Neurospora crassa OR74A: one gene and its partners. The protein of the gene in region 1 interacts with the protein of each later gene in a biochemical or structural test. Links are inferred from orthologs where the notes say so. Each region holds a gene or a part of one and is shown on either strand. Other genes may lie near its edges. The genes, in order: NCU06105, NCU10397, NCU02510 and NCU00725.

The links.
Region 2: the proteins of NCU06105 (region 1) and NCU10397 form a complex in vitro, tested with the Saccharomyces cerevisiae proteins (2 studies listed by BioGRID). The link is inferred for Neurospora crassa OR74A from reciprocal best matches to the Saccharomyces cerevisiae genes GGA2 and PIK1.
Region 3: the proteins of NCU06105 (region 1) and NCU02510 form a complex in vitro, tested with the Saccharomyces cerevisiae proteins (2 studies listed by BioGRID). The link is inferred for Neurospora crassa OR74A from reciprocal best matches to the Saccharomyces cerevisiae genes GGA2 and CHC1.
Region 4: the proteins of NCU06105 (region 1) and NCU00725 form a complex in vitro, tested with the Saccharomyces cerevisiae proteins (2 studies listed by BioGRID). The link is inferred for Neurospora crassa OR74A from reciprocal best matches to the Saccharomyces cerevisiae genes GGA2 and ENT3.

Annotation. Positions count from the first base shown.
Region 1 is NC_026507.1:1,783,502-1,787,921, reverse strand, and holds the start of NCU06105 (ADP-ribosylation factor-binding protein GGA1), read left to right. Parts: upstream 1-1,546; 5' UTR 1,547-2,126; coding exon 2,127-2,672; intron 2,673-2,734; coding exon 2,735-3,422; intron 3,423-3,484; coding exon 3,485-3,987; intron 3,988-4,104; coding exon 4,105-4,311; 3' UTR 4,312-4,420. Other genes in the region: NCU06104 (RLI and DUF367 domain-containing protein), read right to left, coding at 1-1,031. UniProt on the Saccharomyces cerevisiae protein: May play a role in the regulation of membrane traffic through the trans-Golgi network.
Region 2 is NC_026503.1:1,284,582-1,289,009, reverse strand, and holds the start of NCU10397 (phosphatidylinositol 4-kinase PIK1a), read right to left. Parts: upstream 2,986-4,428; 5' UTR 2,555-2,985; coding exon 2,475-2,554; intron 2,320-2,474; coding exon 2,133-2,319; intron 2,062-2,132; coding exon 1-2,061. Other genes in the region: NCU10675 (methionine permease), read right to left, coding at 3,649-4,428. UniProt on the Saccharomyces cerevisiae protein: Acts on phosphatidylinositol (PI) in the first committed step in the production of the second messenger inositol 1,4,5,-trisphosphate. PIK1 is part of a nuclear phosphoinositide cycle and could control cytokinesis through the actin cytoskeleton.
Region 3 is NC_026501.1:2,562,354-2,566,921, forward strand, and holds the start of NCU02510 (clathrin heavy chain), read right to left. Parts: upstream 3,126-4,568; 5' UTR 2,526-3,125; coding exon 2,436-2,525; intron 2,346-2,435; coding exon 1-2,345. Other genes in the region: NCU02511 (S-adenosylmethionine-dependent methyltransferase superfamily domain-containing protein), read left to right, coding at 3,746-4,568. UniProt on the Saccharomyces cerevisiae protein: Clathrin is the major protein of the polyhedral coat of coated pits and vesicles. In yeast, it is involved in the retention of proteins in an intracellular membrane compartment, presumably the trans-Golgi.
Region 4 is NC_026501.1:7,405,329-7,409,592, forward strand, and holds NCU00725 (epsin-3), read left to right. Parts: upstream 1-1,284; 5' UTR 1,285-1,509; coding exon 1,510-1,591; intron 1,592-1,667; coding exon 1,668-1,699; intron 1,700-1,805; coding exon 1,806-1,885; intron 1,886-1,953; coding exon 1,954-3,325; 3' UTR 3,326-3,621; downstream 3,622-4,264. Other genes in the region: csr-1 (peptidyl-prolyl cis-trans isomerase), read right to left, coding at 1-3. UniProt on the Saccharomyces cerevisiae protein: Involved in the recruitment of clathrin to the Golgi network and endosomes to form clathrin coated vesicles. Plays a role in the trafficking of clathrin between the Golgi network and endosomes.

The DNA of each region.
Region 1 (4,420 bases):
GGTTCGGGGTTGGCAAACGATTTGGAGGCGAGGATTTTGCGCCGAATGGCCTCCATCTCGGCTTCATCATCGCTATCGTCGGATATGGCGAAAGGGTCCTTGTCTTCTTCCTCTGACTCCTCTTCGGCTGGTTGTTTCTGTTTGGGCGGTGGTTTGGTGCCAAGGTAGATACCGTCTACGCTGCCGTCTTCGTCGTTACTGTCTGCCTCCTCATCGCTATCTTCCTCGTCGTCTTCGTCGTCGTCCTCCTCATCTGAGTCATCCATAGCTGGCCTCCGATTTGTGTTTCCGGTCGTCCAAATGTCATCCGACTCTCCCTCTCTGCTCTCAGTATACTCTTTTTCTAGCCTCTCCCTCCACGCCTCCTCCGCCTTCTTGATCTCCTCCTCATCCTTGCACGCCGAGTAGATCTTGAACAGCTTCGAGTTGATATCCAGGAATGCCCTGCCGTAAGAAAACGGAGCCAAAATCTCTTCCGCCCACTCCAAATGACCACAGATGGCAAAGGCCGCCGCCAGCGCCTCCACGCAGTTCAGCCGAAACGGCTTACCATAGTTGACCGTGTTGGCCGCCACGAGGTACGGCAACAAGCGCTCGCACTTGCCGCCCACCTTTTTCCACTCCACCTCCTTGGTGCGGGCCCACGAGCACTCCACCACCGCCGCGCCATACTGCTCCATCAGCTCCTTGTCGGCGGGCGACACGACCCGCTTGCCGTTGGGCGTGATGATGACGCCCGAGTGTCGCTGGCCCAGGTGCAGCTCGCGCATGAGACCGAGTTTCATCAGCTTCTTGCCTGAGCACCGCTTCGGGTCGCAGTGGCCTAGGTCCCAGCAGGCGGCCTTGAAGGGAGGGCGGTAGGGGCGTGAGGACGTGGACGGGTCGTGAGGGTTGGCTGTGGTGTCTTCGCCGCCGCTGCCGGCATTGTCTCGGGGGCCTTTGCTGCTGCGGGGGTTGTTGCGGGGCGCGTTCCGACCATGGCCGCCTTTGCCGCCGCGCGAGGAGAAGCCGTCCTTTTTGTGGCGGACCATAGTGGTGATGGTTTGAATTTCGTCGGGAGGATGGATGTTGTCGAGATGGAGTGCCGATGGTTTTGGCTCTGGGGTTGAAGCTTGTAATTGACGGACTTTTTTTTATGTCGCAATGGATGGATGATTTTGGCACGACCTAGCACTGCCTTGCTTTACCAGGGCAGAACTTGGATGGAAATATGCGTGCCGTCTTGGACCACAATGCGAGCTGCTTGCGCTACAAGGTTGAAGTGGCAGATGGCGAAAAAAGTTATGGATGCGATTTGAAGACCTTGACGACATCGCATTTGGGGTTCAGTTGGTGCAGGTGGGGTGGACAGGTGGGTCCGCTGAGGATGTCCATGATTGACGTCTTCCCCGGATTCATGCAACTCACCGATTGTTGCTGCGGAAGATGCTCGATTCGCAAGCGTCTGCCGCGCTTACACCATGCTGGAGGCGCTTGTCGAGGTGCTGTGGATTGAAATTGCAGTGTATTATTCATCCACAAAGATAGTATTCTTGTAACGCAGTCTCGCAACGTACCGATGTGCGGCTCCATTTTTCCTTGCGCCCCAACAACCTCAACGGCAGGCAACAGCGCAGGCCCAAGCCCAACCCGTCCGTCCAGAGCACTGAGAGGGGTCCACGACCTGACCTAGCCGTGTAAGCTCCCGTCCCCTAGCAGCAGTAGGCCTCTCCTCCTTCCATCAGCCAGCGATCCAGGTGGACACATTCCCGTTACCTCTAGGTACAGAAGTTCGGATCGAATCATAGTCCAGTCTCTGGGTGTATAACGAAGTATCAAACTGTAGTAGTACCATACCATACCTCTACTCACCATACTTGGTAATAATCCCAACGGCTTACCGGGAAGAGGGGGAGCTTCACTAGGTACCTACCTTACCTCTAGCACACAACTCCTCTAGACTACACTAGAGCTTGACCGACCAAAGGCTTGGTTGGGTCCTGGTTGCCGCCATCCATTACCTACCTATCCAGGCGACTCCCGCCAAGCTGCGCAATCTGGCCCCAATACCTCCTCGGTCTCTTCAGTCTCGTCAGTCTCCTCATCCACCACTCAACACGTCCCGACTCCCCGAGAACGCCGGCAACATGGAGGCGGCGTCTGCCCGCTATGCCACGCGCGACCGGTGGGCCGAGATGGGCCGCCCGGCCCCGTCCCAGCTTCAGCGCTTCATCACGGCCGCCTGCAGTCCCGACAACTACGAACCCAACTTGGCCCTGAACCTCGAGATCGCCGACTTGATCAACTCCAAGAAGGGTTCCGCCCCTCGAGAGGCCGCCGTGGCCATCGTCAACTACATAAACAACCGCAACCCCAACGTTTCGCTGCTGGCCCTCAACCTGCTCGACATCTGCGTCAAGAACTGCGGCTACCCCTTCCACCTCCAGATCAGCACAAAGGAGTTTCTCAATGAGCTGGTACGCCGCTTTCCCGAGCGGCCCCCGATTCGCCCCACCCGTGTCCAGCTCAAGATCCTCGAAGCCATTGAGGAGTGGCGCTGTACGATTTGCGAAACGAGCAGATATAAAGAGGACTTGGGCTTCATCAGGGACATGCACCGCTTGCTGAGCTACAAGGGGTACACCTTCCCGGAAGTCAGAAGGGAGGATGCTGCTGTGCTTAACCCGAGTGATGTAAGTGTTCCGTCCCGATTCCATGGGTCATTGTTGAAGCGTGTCTAACCTATCTGTCACAGAACCTAAAATCTGTCGAGGAAATGGAAGAGGAGGAACGCGAGGCGCAGTCCGCCAAGCTGCAGGAGCTTATCCGTCGAGGTACTCCCGAGGACCTCCAGGAGGCTAATCGACTCATGAAGGTCATGGCTGGCTATGACACGAGATCCAAGGTGGATTACCGCGCCAAGGCGGCCGAGGACGTGGGCAAAATCCAACAAAAAGCGAGACTTCTCGAGGAGCGGTTAGAAGCCTTTCAACCCGGCGACAAGATCGTGGATGGCGATGTGTTTTCCGAGCTCGCAGCCGCCCTGTCTAGCGCCCAACCAAAGATCCAGAAGATGTGCGAGGAAGAATCAGACGACCATGAAGCAGTCGCAAAACTTCTCGAAATCAACGACAGCATACACCGAACTGTGGAGAGATATAGGTTGCTGAAGAAGGGCGATATAGAGGGTGCCAAGGCATTGGCAAGTGGCGCGCCAGTTGCAAGCACAAGCAACGGCAGTGGAAGTGGTGCTGGCAAGAGTGCGGCGCAAGAGCTGTCGCTCATTGATTTTGATGCTGAGCCAAGCGGGGGGGACTCGACCAGCCAGTCCGCACCCCAGGGAGGAAACAGCCTCGACAACGACTTGCTTGGCCTGTCGCTGGGTGAAACCAGCTCTTATGGTCAAGGAGGTGGCATTGCCCTCGGGTTCGGTGCCAATACGAGTATGTCACTCGCTGCTTTCCGTGCAAGAGTCAAAGAGAATGTTGCTAACAGATCACCACAGACATTCCTGGACCGGCACTGCTCTCATCCACCACGCAGAACAGCACCGCACGGGGCCCCTCCCCTCAACCTGGCCCATCCTCTTTCAACAATTTCAACTCATTCGCATCACCAGTTGCTTCTCAATCAAGCACCCCCAAGCCTCCCGCGTATACAGCATCCGCTTTTTCCGCGCCAGCTGCGTCGTCAACAGCGTCCAACGACCCATTTGCTGCTCTAGCCTCTCTCTCCTCTTCATCTACCCCGGCGCCAGCGCCAGCACCAGCTGCTACCGGTAATGACGATGACGAGTGGTCTTTCTCCTCGGCACTGCCTCCTGAGGCGACACCCGCCCAGCCTAAGGAGCACAGAGCCGTTGTTTCTAACACTGCGCTCAAGGTCGACATGGTGGCTGTCAGATCTCTGTCCAATGGCCCATCTCCAGCCATTTCTATGCAATTTGCTTTTAGCAACAACACAGCGCAACCCATCACCGAGGTGCATTTCCAGTTGGCTGTCACCAAGGTAAGCTCACTAATCTGACCCTTGGCACTTTGACCAAAAATGTTTTGGGCTACGTTATGTGCCTTCGTCAGTTGTAGAAAGCCCTCAAGCGAGATGCTAATTGTGATGCTTGAACAGGGATACGAATTGCAACTTCAGCCTCAAACAGGACGGACTCTTACCCCCAAGCAGAGCCGGGGCATTACCCAGTCAGTCAACGTATGGTATACGGCGGACAAGACCAGGAAGGTAGAGAGCGTGAAACTCAGGTGGAGGGTATCATACAAGGTTGGAGCGGAAGCAAAGGCCGAGATGGGTGAGATTCCCGAGTTCAGTGTGGCATAAGCAGGAACTTTGGTAAGAACGAGGGCCACAAGAATGAGAACAGGGTTGCGTGCATGTTTACGTTCAAAATTCATTCATAGTAGTACAGAGCCAATTAATATGTAGTGAT
Region 2 (4,428 bases), on another chromosome or scaffold:
GCCGTTGGCAATGGTCTCTATCAGACCGCACGACTCGCCCGTAACAAGAATGCGCATGAGCTTCACCCAGACGGGCACGTTGTGCTCTACCCAGATCTTGTGGCACACGCGGATCAGCTGGCAGGCGAATGCCTCCTGACGGAGATCCGCACCCGTTTTGACAATGACGCTGACGAGATCCCAGTTCTTCATCCAGCCGTAAGGAGAGGACTTGCGGATACGCTCCTTCTTCATCTCCCAAGCTTCTCCGAAGACGGCAGCGCTGGGATCATCACGATCGCCCTTGCGCTGGAGACCGCCTGTCTTGATATCGTTTTCCATCCTTGCTAGACCGGCGTTTGGATTCACGTTAGACTCGACCTTCTCCAGGGGAGCCTCGATTTCTTCGTCCGTGGCGACATTGCCGTTGATAACGTTTTCTGCACTGGCCTTGGCCATAATCATGTCGAAGGTCGGCCCTTGGCTATCATGGACTTCAAAACTCTCCTCCTCCAGACTCTGCATGCTGGCAATAATCTTTGCCCTGATTGCGGCCACTTCATGACGCGGCCGCTTGCCACTTGTTGCATCCAACTGCGCCAACATTTGCGAGGCTGTCCGCATATGGATGGCAAGGGCAGAGAAATCAGGTTGGTCGGCGGCCGCGTTGTTGCGCGGACTTTGGAGGGTCATCCTCCTGAAAGGTGGGGTAGAGGATCCCGAAGTGCCAGAACTGCGAGGCGTTGACGTCAGATCAACAAATTGTGTCGAGCTGGTCCCAGTAGTGGCAGCATGGCGGAGACCGCCAGGAACGGGGTTATGCTGTATGGCAAAGGGCTCGTCGTTGAACGGTTTTATTAGTGGCGAGTGCCCTAGATCCCCCGAGGAAGGCTCAAAAACACTATCGATGACGGGCTCCTGTGAACGGGGTGTGGCTGGTATCCTAGAAGACTCGGAAAGGTCAAAAATCCGCCTCCTGGTTCCTTGTTCGACCAAAAGCTGTGTCAGAAGTCTCTGATTATCTTGAGAATCCGGGTCAAATGTGAGATCTTCTCTCAAAATCTCAACCATAAGCAGGAAAGGCACTTTCTCAGCACTGTTCAGTACCGTGGCCTCAGCCGGGTTGAGACGGACTATCCTGTGATGTCGGCTCTGCGAAGGAGAGCCGTTGACCAAAGTAGGAGGGCAGATGACTGGGATATCGACCTCGGCCGGGAGTTCTTGAGCGATTAGAGCCAGCTCAGCGCGTAGGGCACTTAGGCGTGCAGCCTTTGGTACTATTACTAGTCGGTTTGAAATATCCTCTAGTGCGGTCAGGAATGCTGTTTGGCAGTGGAAGTAGTTTTGTTTTAGTAGCCGCATCTTTTGTGTGCGGCTCATGTCCGCTTGGTTCAAGAGCGTCTTGACATGGTGCGAGTGCCTCCTGTTCACTCCAGTCGTTGGCCGCAGGGCCGGAGTGGTCGGCCTGTGTACAAGACCTGGAGAATTGGCATTCGACGTTGGTAGAGGCAGTGAAGATGAACTAAGGCGCGCCTCCAAGACGTTGGAATCGAAAGGAGTAGGTCGCTTGGTCTCTACCGGCGTTTTGATAGAAGACCCCGAAGACGTCGGCCGGGAGTCAGGCTGAGGTTCCTTGATCTTGGGCTTGGGGCGATGCGCCACCGGGCTGCTGTTGTTGCTCTGGAGCTGATGGTCCGATGAGCTTGTAAGGCGGGCCTCCTTTGCCCGTCTCGATTTTGTTGTACCAGCAGTGACGGTATGCGCGCGAGCAGGTGGGGCGGCGTTGACGGGAGTAGCGTCCAACACAGGTTCGATGACTTGAGGGCGGGGCTTTCTGGCTTGCGCGACGGCAAGCGGGCCAGCCCAATGGGGGAGAAACGGGGCGGCGATACTGGCGAGAACGAAGCTCCCTAGGACAGTCACTGGCAAAGCGTTTTCCGTAATCTTCTCGTTCCTTGCACTGTCGGAGACGCCAAAGACGATATGCTGCACCTTGTTGTACACTCTCTGGCATATTTTGAAGGCATTGGCCTGTGGATTAGCGGATAGGTCGTGTAGGTATGTTTGGAAGAGCCAGAATGTCTGCGAGCGGGCGAGATATCAGCAATTCGGAGTCGTGCAAAGCGTCAGATGGTGTATAGAGGGCTGCGCACCAACAAGGCTGCTGTGACCGACTCCTCGCACAGGTCGAGGAGAAACTCCTCCAGGGCCATGGACTCATTGTCGATGCTGATGATAAGGTGACAGAGCTGAGGGAGGAAGAACTCGATGTCCTCGTAGGGGAACTGGCGCAGCTTGCTGCACAGCACATAGTGAATTCCTATGTGGTCGGCATATCGTCTGGCGGTGCGGTCATGTTAGTGTGTGTCTTGCCAGGCCAGTACTGATACGCGCCGCGCCGAGTGAGGAGGAGAGAAAGAGGAGGAGGAGGAGGAGGGGGAGGAGGAGGAGGAGGAGGGGTAGCGAATCTTGGCAAAACGGAATGGCTGACTGACGAGAGGTAGGAGACGGAGAGAAAGGGGTTTTGGTTGAAGACGTCGCTCTCGAGGAACCGCTTTAACAAGTCCCAAGACATTGGTTATGGCGCAACGAGGGTCGACCGCAGATCGACTCGGGGATTATGGGAGGAAAGAGTCAATGTCGGGCTGGCGAGGCTGAAGTGGTGAAGCGAGGCGTAGGCGTAGGTGGGAGAATCGAGCAGCTAGGTAGGTACACTCAGTCTAGACGGAAGCTAACTTGGAACTGGAGCTGGCTGGCTGGCTGGCTGGAGAATGGACGGATACAGAGGGCAGCAAGGCATGCATGCGCAAGCAATGCCTTCATCGGACTTGAACATGAACGGAGTCGACGGCGTAGGGCTGCTGGAGCATGGCTGACGGGGCCGGGCGCGCTTAGGTCGTTACTCGTTATGGTGTTGACAAGTGAGACTGAAATGTGGTGGTGGTGGTGGTGGTGGTAGAGGTAGTATTCCCAAGAAGGACACCAAAACCACTTCCTCTCGCTCGCCAGGGTGCCCGGGTGGTGTCAAGTGGTGTTCCGAAGGTGGAGGTTGGCCGTCACTGCTGTCAGGGGGGGGGGGGGGGGGCCGCAGTCCACTGAAAGGAATAATTGTTCGATACAACAACACCCGCTCGCACGGCACATTGAACGGGACCTATCCGCTAAGCCCGATGGAGCCCCGCGTCCCGTTCCCCACCTGGCCGACTTGTCCGCCTCGGCTGCAGTGTGTCCGTCCACAGCGCCTTTCCTTTGCCCTGCTACAGGCACTTGGCGTCTGCCAACGACCGCTGAAACAGTGTTCCCATCCGCTCTTGTTTCGTCTTGGCGGTTGGGATTCCCATCAACATGACACCCCAAATCATATCAATGGTCCATCTCGTATTGGGGATTCATGGAAGTGAACACGAAGATCTAACCCACCGGCATGTTGATCAGACACTTAGTGCTAGTTCCACCGGCCAAAGTAGATCGATCCCAGGGCGCTTGCGCCATCCGAAAAAGGGGCTCTGCTCCAAGGGAAAAAAAGATGAAAAAAAAGGGGTAAAAGGACACAGACTCCATCCAAAGTAAACAAATCCCCTTTTATCTTGTTCCTGAAACGAAGACGCGAATCATTGATCTACTATTCTACGTTGTATCTTCTCTACATCGACAAGTGCACACGTCCTATCACCTCCACACAACAGTCGTCCCTCCTCCTCCTCCTCCTCCTCTCCCCCCTCCCCTCCCCCCATTCCTCCTCCCTCTCGCACCACTCCTACCTCCCCTCGGCCTCACCCTCTTATACTTGACCCTCTCACTCCCATCCGGCAACACCACCACCTCGTGCTGTATAGAGAACCCAAACGCCGGCAACACCTTGGCCCAAACCACCCAATACATGACGCCGATAACCAGCATGCCCGTCCCCAGCGCCGGCACCACCGAAAAGTGAACCTTGGTCAGCAGCGTGTTCGGGATAAACGGCGCCGCACAGGTATACAGCAGCCCGACAACCCAAAACACCGTCAGGACGGGATAACTATGGAACCGCTTGTTCTCCGGCGTCGTCCAGTTCTCGCTCGGCGTAAAGTTGAGATACAGCAGCCCCACCCCCAGGAAGACCTTGATCCAGTTGCCCGAGTAGGTAAAAATGTTGGACAGAAACTGGTACACGTCCTTGGTGCTGGATCCGAGGATCAAGGCCACGGTGAAGATCCAATGCAGCAAAATGGCGCCCGTCGGCGACTTTTGCTCGGGCCAGTCGCTCGCCCAGAAGCGCGAGAAGGGGAGAGTGCCTTCCTTTGCGAGCTCCTGCTTCACACGGGGCATGGCGAAGGATTGCGCAAAGACGTTGCCGAGCGCGGAGAGGGCGAGGAAGAGAGGCATGACGCGCTCGGTGAAGGCCGAGGGACCCCAGACGCGGGTGAAGAAGATGGCGGTGGGGACGACGCCGGATTTGGAGAGTTC
Region 3 (4,568 bases), on another chromosome or scaffold:
TGCACGTAAATCTCAATGGACTTGAACTGCTGGTGCTGGTACAGGTAGAGAACCAGGTCATGAACAAAGTTGAAGCGATCGCAGACAACCATCAAAGGAAGCATCTCGCTGAGCTTGGCCTCCTTGAGGAAGTTCTTCACCTTCTCGGGGTTGTAAACGCTGTTGTCGCGGCAGATACGCTCAACCTCGCGAATTTGTCCCATCTTGGTGGCAGCCTCAATGTACTTGAATACGACTTCGGGGTCCTCGGTGACATTGACGACACTGGCAAGGAAGTAGTAAAGACCTTCAGCAGTCTTGTACTTCTCAAAGAGATCAATCAATTGCTGCGCGCCGAGGAGCTCCGCATACTTGGTTGCGACTTGAACGACAGTCTGGAGATTCTGGCGAATATTGTGCTTCATCATGGCGTCCAGGCAGTCAAGCGATTGCTCAACAGACAGCGCCTTGAAATACTCAATCAACCACTCGGGGTTGTAGTTAGGCATTCCAGGGATGTTGACAATAACCCGCTTGATGGACGCAGGATCCTCATAGAGCTCCAGGGCCTTCTGCAAAAGACCTGCTTGCTCGCAGAGGTTCGCAATGTGCGCCTTGTCAAAGTGGGAGAACATGTCGTTGCCAAGAATGGCGTCAGCAACCTGGGGGGCGTTGACGAGGTTCATCTCCAATAGACGAGTCTGAAGGTGGGCATGCTCGGGCTTGTTATCCTTCAGAGCGTCAAGAAGGAAAGCAGTTGCTTGCTGGATCATTCCTTGAGACTGGAAGATGTCAACCACCTTCTCGAAGTCGACCAGCGGGCCGCCTTCGTGATTGGCAAGCGTCGTGGCAAACTCGGCACCCTTCTCAGCATTGACACGGACAATGTGGTGGAGAAGCTGAATAAAGTCAGGCTGGTAGTTGGCTTGACCGCAGTAGGGCAGAATCTTCTCAAACTGGCCAGTCTCGGCAAACCCAGCAACAACCTTGTGAGGAGCGTTGGCCTTCAAATAGATGGCAAGCGCCATGTTAATGTCGTGGGGCCGGACCATGTCACCAAGTCTCTCAGAGCACTCGAGCTTGTTCTCGCTGAGCCACTTCTGCAATAGCTGTTTGCGGTTCTGAGCGAGAACGGGTTGGGCAAGCTCAATGGTCTCATGCTCGTTCAGCGAACCCTTGTCTAGAAGCATACCAAAGTACTGCAAGATATGCGACATCTGTCCAGGCTGCTGTGGAAGACGCTTGAAGCGCTCGATGGTCTGAGGAGTGCGAAGGAAACCTCGAGGAGAGTTGGCAGCCACCTTGGCGGCCTCTTGGTAGTTGCCATTGCTGAAGAGTTGCTCGAAGCGTTGCTGGTAGAGGTTATCGGCGCCTGGGAGCCCTGCACGAGAAGCCAACTTGATAGCGAGCTCATTGCCGTGTGCCTCAAGGACGTAAGGAACGATTGTGTTCTCATCGGCGCTGACGAAGAGAACCTGTCCCTTGCGGTTGATGCCAATGACGCCGGTCGAATCCTTGTCACCGCAAGCAGTGAAGATAGTATCGCTTGAGATGCGGTTCATGAAGATACATGTGGCAGTCTCGAGGTCGTAGAGGTGGATGAAACCGTACTTGGTGATAAGGTAGATGATGCCGTACTTTTGCGAAACCTGGAGGGCGACGGGGAAGTCATTGCTGGCCTCGGGAGGGAAGAAGACGTCCACGGCCTTCTTGGGGAAGACGGGGTTTGTTTCGGGATGGTCGACCTCGACAATGTGGAGCTTCGCGCCGACGGCGGTGCGGACCGCAAAGGTAAACACCTTGGTGTCCTCCGGGGCGCCCTCTAGTCGGAGGGTGCCAAAAGCAGCGGCATGACCCTCAATAGCCTGGCTGATACCGCGGTCTTTGGAATAGAGCTGCATGGCGCCAACAACGCGGCCCTGCTGTTGTGAGATACCGACAACAACCATCCACTTTCCGTCGGCGCTGGTCCGATAATTAATTATTTGGTTGCCCTGGAGATTAGCATTACGATCGAAGACCTTGACCGGAGCGGGCTGGTTCGGGTCGAAGACATCCCAATGGTAAACAGAGCCATCTGTGATCAAGCCAAGCGTGGTCTCGCTAACCCACTTCCAGAACAAGACATCCTCGCTCATGTTTGTCGACTTGAGCTTGGCCTTGTTTTCGAGGTCGAAAATCTGGAGTGTGCGCGCCTGGGCCTTGAGGGCAATTACTTGGCGCGTCCAGTGCATTATGGCACTGTCGGCCTTGATGGGACGTCGGATAACATTATTGCCGTTCTTGAGATCGACGATGATGACTTCAGGGGACGCTGCCTCGTCCTTCTTGTCGCGAATACACACCCAGTTGTCCGATTCTAGAGTCTGGGAGCGGGGGGTTCACGTCAGCAGGGGTGCCAGAGGAGGCGCGACAACTGTCACTAGCAGAGTCAGAGCAAGGTGAGGACAACGTACACAGGTATTGAAAGTGATGGCAGTCTGGTTGATGCCGAGGGCGCTGAGTTGCAGCAGCTCCTGGAATTTGATGGGTAGGGCCTGAGCCATGATGGGCGGTGGTGTTGCGCTAAGCTGCGCGCAGAGTGACGAAGATTAGCAGCCAACTTATCAAAAGCGGCTGGAAGGTGAATCCGCTGGGAAGTAGAAAGATTGGGGAAATGGAGGCTCGTGAAGCTCCGTGGACTGAATGGAATGGCGGCGACGTGAAAGGAGGCGGTGGTGGTGGTGGTTGGTTGTACTTTGGGGGGAAAATGACCGAGCTCCCGAGAAATGGGGAGGGGGAAAGAGGACGGATGAATCAGGTAGGTAGAGGTAGGTAGGAGGTTGGAGGTGGAAGGATTAACGCAAGGTCCAGAAGGCAGGTACGCAGTAAAACCCGCCGCCAAACTGTGGGTGAGAGGTGAGTCGCGATTTGCCGCTCAGTTACAGATACGTAAAGTAAAGGCGAGCAGGTACCTCGATGTCACCTCACTTCAATGCTCCAGCAGAAAGAATAGAGAAGAATCGCGGTTGTTGAAGGATGCAAAGCAGCAAGAGGAGACGTCGTTTGTTACGGGAAGTTAGTACCGTGAGAGATGAAAGATACAGCAGGAAAGATGGAAGGTGCTGAGGTGAGATGCCTCTCCAGCTGTCCAGTGTGTTTGTACATGCCGCAACTGTTCAGCGCAGACGGAAGGTACCTCTAGTACCTCTCAGGTTACCTGCCTGCTTTTGAGTGATGTGTTAACACGGGACCTCGCGGCCGGGGCGTCCACCGCCCACCGGCGCCGGCTCCATTCAGTGCTTCCCCCTGCGTCGGGTGCGCCTAGACCAGGCGGCAGGCGCCTGCCCGGGAGGCCTGCCTGCCCCCTTCGCTTCAAGCTGTCCGCCCGGTCCAGGTTGCCCGCCCTCATCCCGTCATCCTTCTACTTTCCTTTGCCCGCATTGATCGCCTCTCCTGCGAGGTCCGTCAGACGGTCCTTCCATTTCCTACCTCTAGGTACCTTATACCTCCAGGCCGCCTGCCTCCGGGGGCGCCGTTCATGCCGGGCTCCAGGGGCAGCTGTTCCCTACTCCAGAACAGCCCAGCTCCAGGGGTAGCGTCAGCTGTTGCTACAGGGATTCCGAACTTGGCCCAGCTTGACTAATGTGGGGCACTGACCAATGGCTCACCTTTTGGGACCGCAGTGAGGTGGAACCCGATTTGAGGAAAGAGACTTGGCATTGCTATCGATAAGCTTTTTCAGAAAAGAAAATCGACCCGGAGAAATATCCACAAGCGCCTGTCGATGGTGGGCTATCAGTGTTCAAACCAACCCCAACAACATCCCAATCACCACCAGACGACCAGCAATACCATCAAAATGGGTGTCGGACGTCGCATGCAGAAACAGGGCCCTCCTGAGCCCCTCTCGGAGGAGCACTTCGCCAACCTCAAGCGCAAGAAGGGCATTCCCTTTGACGAAACCACGACCGAAGTCGACACTAGAAGATCCAAGAAGCAGAAGATTGTCAAGAAGCAGCCCAAGACATCCGGCTCCAACACTGTCGCAGTCAAGGGCGCCAAGAAAGAGGTCAAGGAGGTGAAGAAGACTGGCACAAAGCCCGCCCACAGGTCCAAGGAGTCCAAGAAGCCTAAGAAGGCAAAGCAGCCTTCGCCCGATCATGACGAGGAGATGGACGACGAGTTTGGCGCGTCCGACCTGGAGGGCCTTGATATCGACGGCGATGAGATGGACGTTCAAAAGCTAGGAGACGATTTCCTCGGCACTGACGACGACTCGGTTTACGATTCCGACCAGGACGGTGCTACCAAGAAGGAGGCATTCGTCTTCTCTGACGATGAGGATGACGAAGAGGATAGAGAGGAGAAGCTCACAGCCGCCAACATCGAGGGTCTTTCGAGGAAATTGGATATGCAAAGAGAGAAGGAAGCAGAGGAGAACGAGGCCGAATTGCGCGACGAGGCGCTCCAGACCAACATCGCTGGTGGTGATGACCTCGGTGATGACGACGACCAACTTCAGACTAAGACCAAAACTTTGCTGGCACCCGATCTCCAGATGTTGAGAACGAGGATAACAGACGCCATCCGTATCCTGGACGACTTTT
Region 4 (4,264 bases), on another chromosome or scaffold:
CATTTTCACTAAAATGGAAAGGAGGGGTCAGCCAATCCGAGAAGTGGGGGGCGGAGAAGGTACGTAGCTGCTCGCCACGTGATTGATTGTTGCGACTCGAGCTGTCGGCCTGTCGCCACGCCGCCTGTTTCGGTCTCGTTTGCCAGTGCGGCGGGAGACGACGAAACAGCAGGTCAGCTTGACAACGTGGAGTGGTATGAGCCTCTGCAAGTGTCATCTTTGGCGCATGTGGGCTTCGGATTGGTTCGTTGGCTCAGGAACACCAGTACGAACAAGTAAACAGCTGCCATCTGGTGTTGGCGCTTCCCCCCCGAGTCTCCAAGGTCCCGTCGGCCCTGACGCTGACGGCAATGACAATCAAAACTGCCACCACCCGTGTGTGTATAGTTGGCAGCTAAAGCGCTGGCAAGAGCTATCCAAAGACATCCGGGCCAAAGGACCGTAGACCCATGGCTCCATCATATGGCTTGTTGGGTCTTCATAGCGTTGCGATTGCCTCTTTCATTTGGAGTCCCCCTCTGTCAATGCAGCCATTGACGACATTGCGGAGCCATGGACGATACCCCAAGCCGAACAAGAGGGATGGACGGCATTAACGACCTTGATGGCCATGTCTGGGGTAGGGACCAAAAGGCGGTGGTGGTATTGTCAAACTAACAAACCTCACCCCTCATCTCGAGCGTGGATGGAAAAAAGGACATTCGAATTGAATCTGATGCCAAGAAATCCCGGGAATGGAAGCTCTCAGAGCTCTGCCACAGATAGAGCTTGGAGCTTTGGGCAAGCTCCCAGCCGGCAGGGAGAGCTCCTCTAGACAGAAAAGGCTCAAGAAGAACATGGCAACAAAAGTAAAAATGATAACGTACCGGTTGTGGAAGATGAAATCCTGGATGATTGTAGGATGATAATGAAGCTAAAAGTACAAGGTAAAGTCCGAACAAACGAACGATGGAAATCTGCTACACGGCGATGGATGCACAACAAAGACCTGAGACGAGAGGGAGAACGGAGTCGGGTCGGGTGTTTAACAATTTTTACTCCATCCAAAATGCATGGAAGCGAGCTCCGGCGGCCGAGCGTCCCCTCCCGCCGCCCCGCGTTGTCGGCCGGCCCGGCAATTACAAGCAGAATTCTTGCCTGAAAACTCAGGCTTCAAAGAGCTGAGACGCTCGTGCCAAGCTTTCAAAGTCTTGGCAGACCTCCTGGGTTCCACTGGCTTCTTGGTGTCAGGGTGTTGGGTCAAGCGCAGGGGTCGGCCTTGGACGGCGTCAGTTGAGGTCAGCGCTCAGCGGCACCCTGACGCTAGGCCACCTCAATGTCCATCTGATCCCGACAAGACCGTGAAACGTCGCCCTGAAAGCGATCAGCCCGAACAAAAACCACCAAGTCGCCACAGCATCCCGCCCGTCTGGCAATCATCACCGCGAGGCTCAGATTGGATCTAGAGAAGAATTACCTTAGCCCATCAGAACAATTCCCAGCAACTCCGGCGATAGACACGTTTACGCAATGGATTTCAATAGCCTCAAGGATACCGTGTCCAACCTGACACTCTACGACATCAAGGCTGGCGTACGAAAGGTTCAAAATGGTAGGTGACCACCTAGTCCAGAACCAAGACTCCCTCATGATTTCGTGTTCAGGGTGCTGACAATGGCTCCAACCAGCTGTCATGAACTATACCGAGATGGAGTCCAAGGTATGCCCGTATCCACGCGCCACACTGGCACCATTCTCTTGCGCCCTTCGCCATATACTTGATCCCAGACAAGAGACCATGGAACGGGAGCTGACAGCGAACCCAGGTGCGCGAGGCCACCAACAATGAACCTTGGGGTGCATCGTCGACTTTGATGCAAGAGATCGCCGATGGCACCTTCAACTAGTACGTTCTCGAGAACTGCTCGCTTGTATACGAACGCGGCTAACTTGCGTTTCCCTCCTTGTTCTTAGCCAAACACTCAACGAAATCATGCCCATGATTTACCGCCGTTTCACAGAAAAGTCCGCCGAAGAATGGCGCCAGATCTACAAGGCCCTTCAACTACTAGAGTACCTGATTAAGCACGGTTCCGAACGAGTGGTGGACGATGCTCGGTCGCATCTTACCCTCCTCAAGATGCTGCGCCAGTTCCATTTTATCGACCAGAACGGCAAAGACCAGGGTATCAACGTCCGCAACCGCGCCAAGGAACTCGCCGAGCTCCTCAGCGATGTCGAGCGTATCCGAGCAGAGCGCAAGAAGGCCCGCGCAAACAAGGGCAAGTTCACGGGCATTTCGGGTGGAATGAGCTTCTCCAGCGGGAGCAGCGGACGTTATGGCGGTTTCGGCAACACTTCGTATGGCGGTAGCAGCAGTGGTGGCGGTGGTAGCAGCTCTACCTACGGTGGCTATTCTGGAGGAGTTTATGGCGACGGAGGTGTTTTTGGTGGCCAGCCTTCCAACAACGACTACCGCGGGACCCAGGCACGGGCAGAGCAGTTTGAGGAATACGATGCAGGTGATTTGGACGCTGAGGCGTCGTCTCGTACCGCGCCAAGGACACCACGATCCACGACAGAAAGAGCCGGGGTCAAGAAAACAACAGCACCCGCCGAGCCGCCCAAGAAAAAGGAGCCCGAGATCGACTTGTTTTCCTTCGACGAGCCCGCAGCGCCATCCATCCCGACCGCGCCCCTCGCTGCCGCACCTTCCAACGGCTCTGGGCTTGCGGCTCTAGCCGGCGGCGCCAAAGACGACGACGACGAGTTCGATGATTTCCAGTCTGCAGCCCCCGCCACGCAGCCTGCTTCTGCAATTTCTCCCCCAATCGCCCCCCTCTCTACTGGCACACAGTTTGTTGCCCCGCAACCAGTTTCGGCGCCTCAGCAGGCCAACCTTAGCGGCATGGTTGCCCTCTCCTCCATCTCTCCTCCTCCCAGCTCCACGGCGACTCCTGCTGCCAACTTCTCGGCTTTCTCCACGCCCCTTTCGCCCGTCTCCCAGGCTCCCAAGCCAACTGGCTTCCAAGCCGGTCAGCCAAACTACTTTTCCCCGGTACAGCTGCAGACCCAGTCCACCGGGTCCTCGCTTTCAGGAACCAAGGCAACCGGTTCAGCTGCCTCCAAGCCAGCCGCTGGCGGTGACGCCTTCGGTGCGCTGTGGTCGCAGGCTAGTGCTGGAATCAAGAAGAGCACGCCTACCACCAAGGGTCCGGCTATCGGACAACTGGCCAAAGAGAAGAGTAGTGCTGGTATTTGGGGAACTCCTGCGCCCTCCACTCCGACCAGCGGTAGCAGGCCCACCACTGGCGGCAACCACGGGTTGGACGATCTGCTCGGTTAATTACCTGACTGGGTGTGAGGAGTTTTCCAAGGAGTATTTAGAACCGCTGTCGTCTACTTACGGAAGCGGGATCCTTGGAGTAGATCAAGGGTGTGCAGTTACACAAAGAGGAGATGAGCAGTTAAACGATTTATATTCCACGTAATGTTATTGGAGGTAGGGGTGGGTATCTTGCAGCGCCTCTCGTCTGCAACAAAATTTCACGTCTATTTATGCTGCATTCGGCTTCTTTGTGTTTGTCACGTTTTGTTTCCGCGTGCGAGTCCCTCAAAGAGTGAACTGATCCGTAACTTAAGTCCCCGTATACACTCATCCTCACCTTCACAATTCCAGAAGACCCAAGCCGGCTGTTGAGTCGCTCATGGTCAAGTAACCCGATGTTGCGGTCGATCTGTTGTTTTATCTTGTGGAATTCGCATAGCTTCCATCCCTGATGTTCGTTTGATGGAACTTTTACCACTGAAGCTCCTTGCCTTCTTTATTGGCTTCACTTCTGGCCCGTTATGAACTGGTGAACCCCCTCAACCCCCCCCCCCCCCCCCCCCCCCCCCCCCCTTTTCCGTCTGTCTTTATTTTTCTGGCATATCAGCCTCCTCGAATGGTTTGAACAACCGTAAGGCTGGAGCATCATCCCAACATGCAGTCCATCAACATGAGCTAGAATACTTCATCCAATAGTGAGTTCATGGATCGCAAAGTATGTGTCCAGTGACTCAAGCCTCCGCACTCGCCCTCGGCTCGGTATGACGGCGCAAGGCCAGCCTCGAACACCCTCGACCCACCGATCACAACCTCAACAGTCGATCAGTCATTACCACCAAAATGATTAATGACTACGAGCACCAAAGCGCACACTCATGGCCAATGCGTCGAAACGTCTGTTGCCGTGAGCAACACGGAAAAATCACAGATCAGTGGCTTTGATCTTGGAACCGTGCT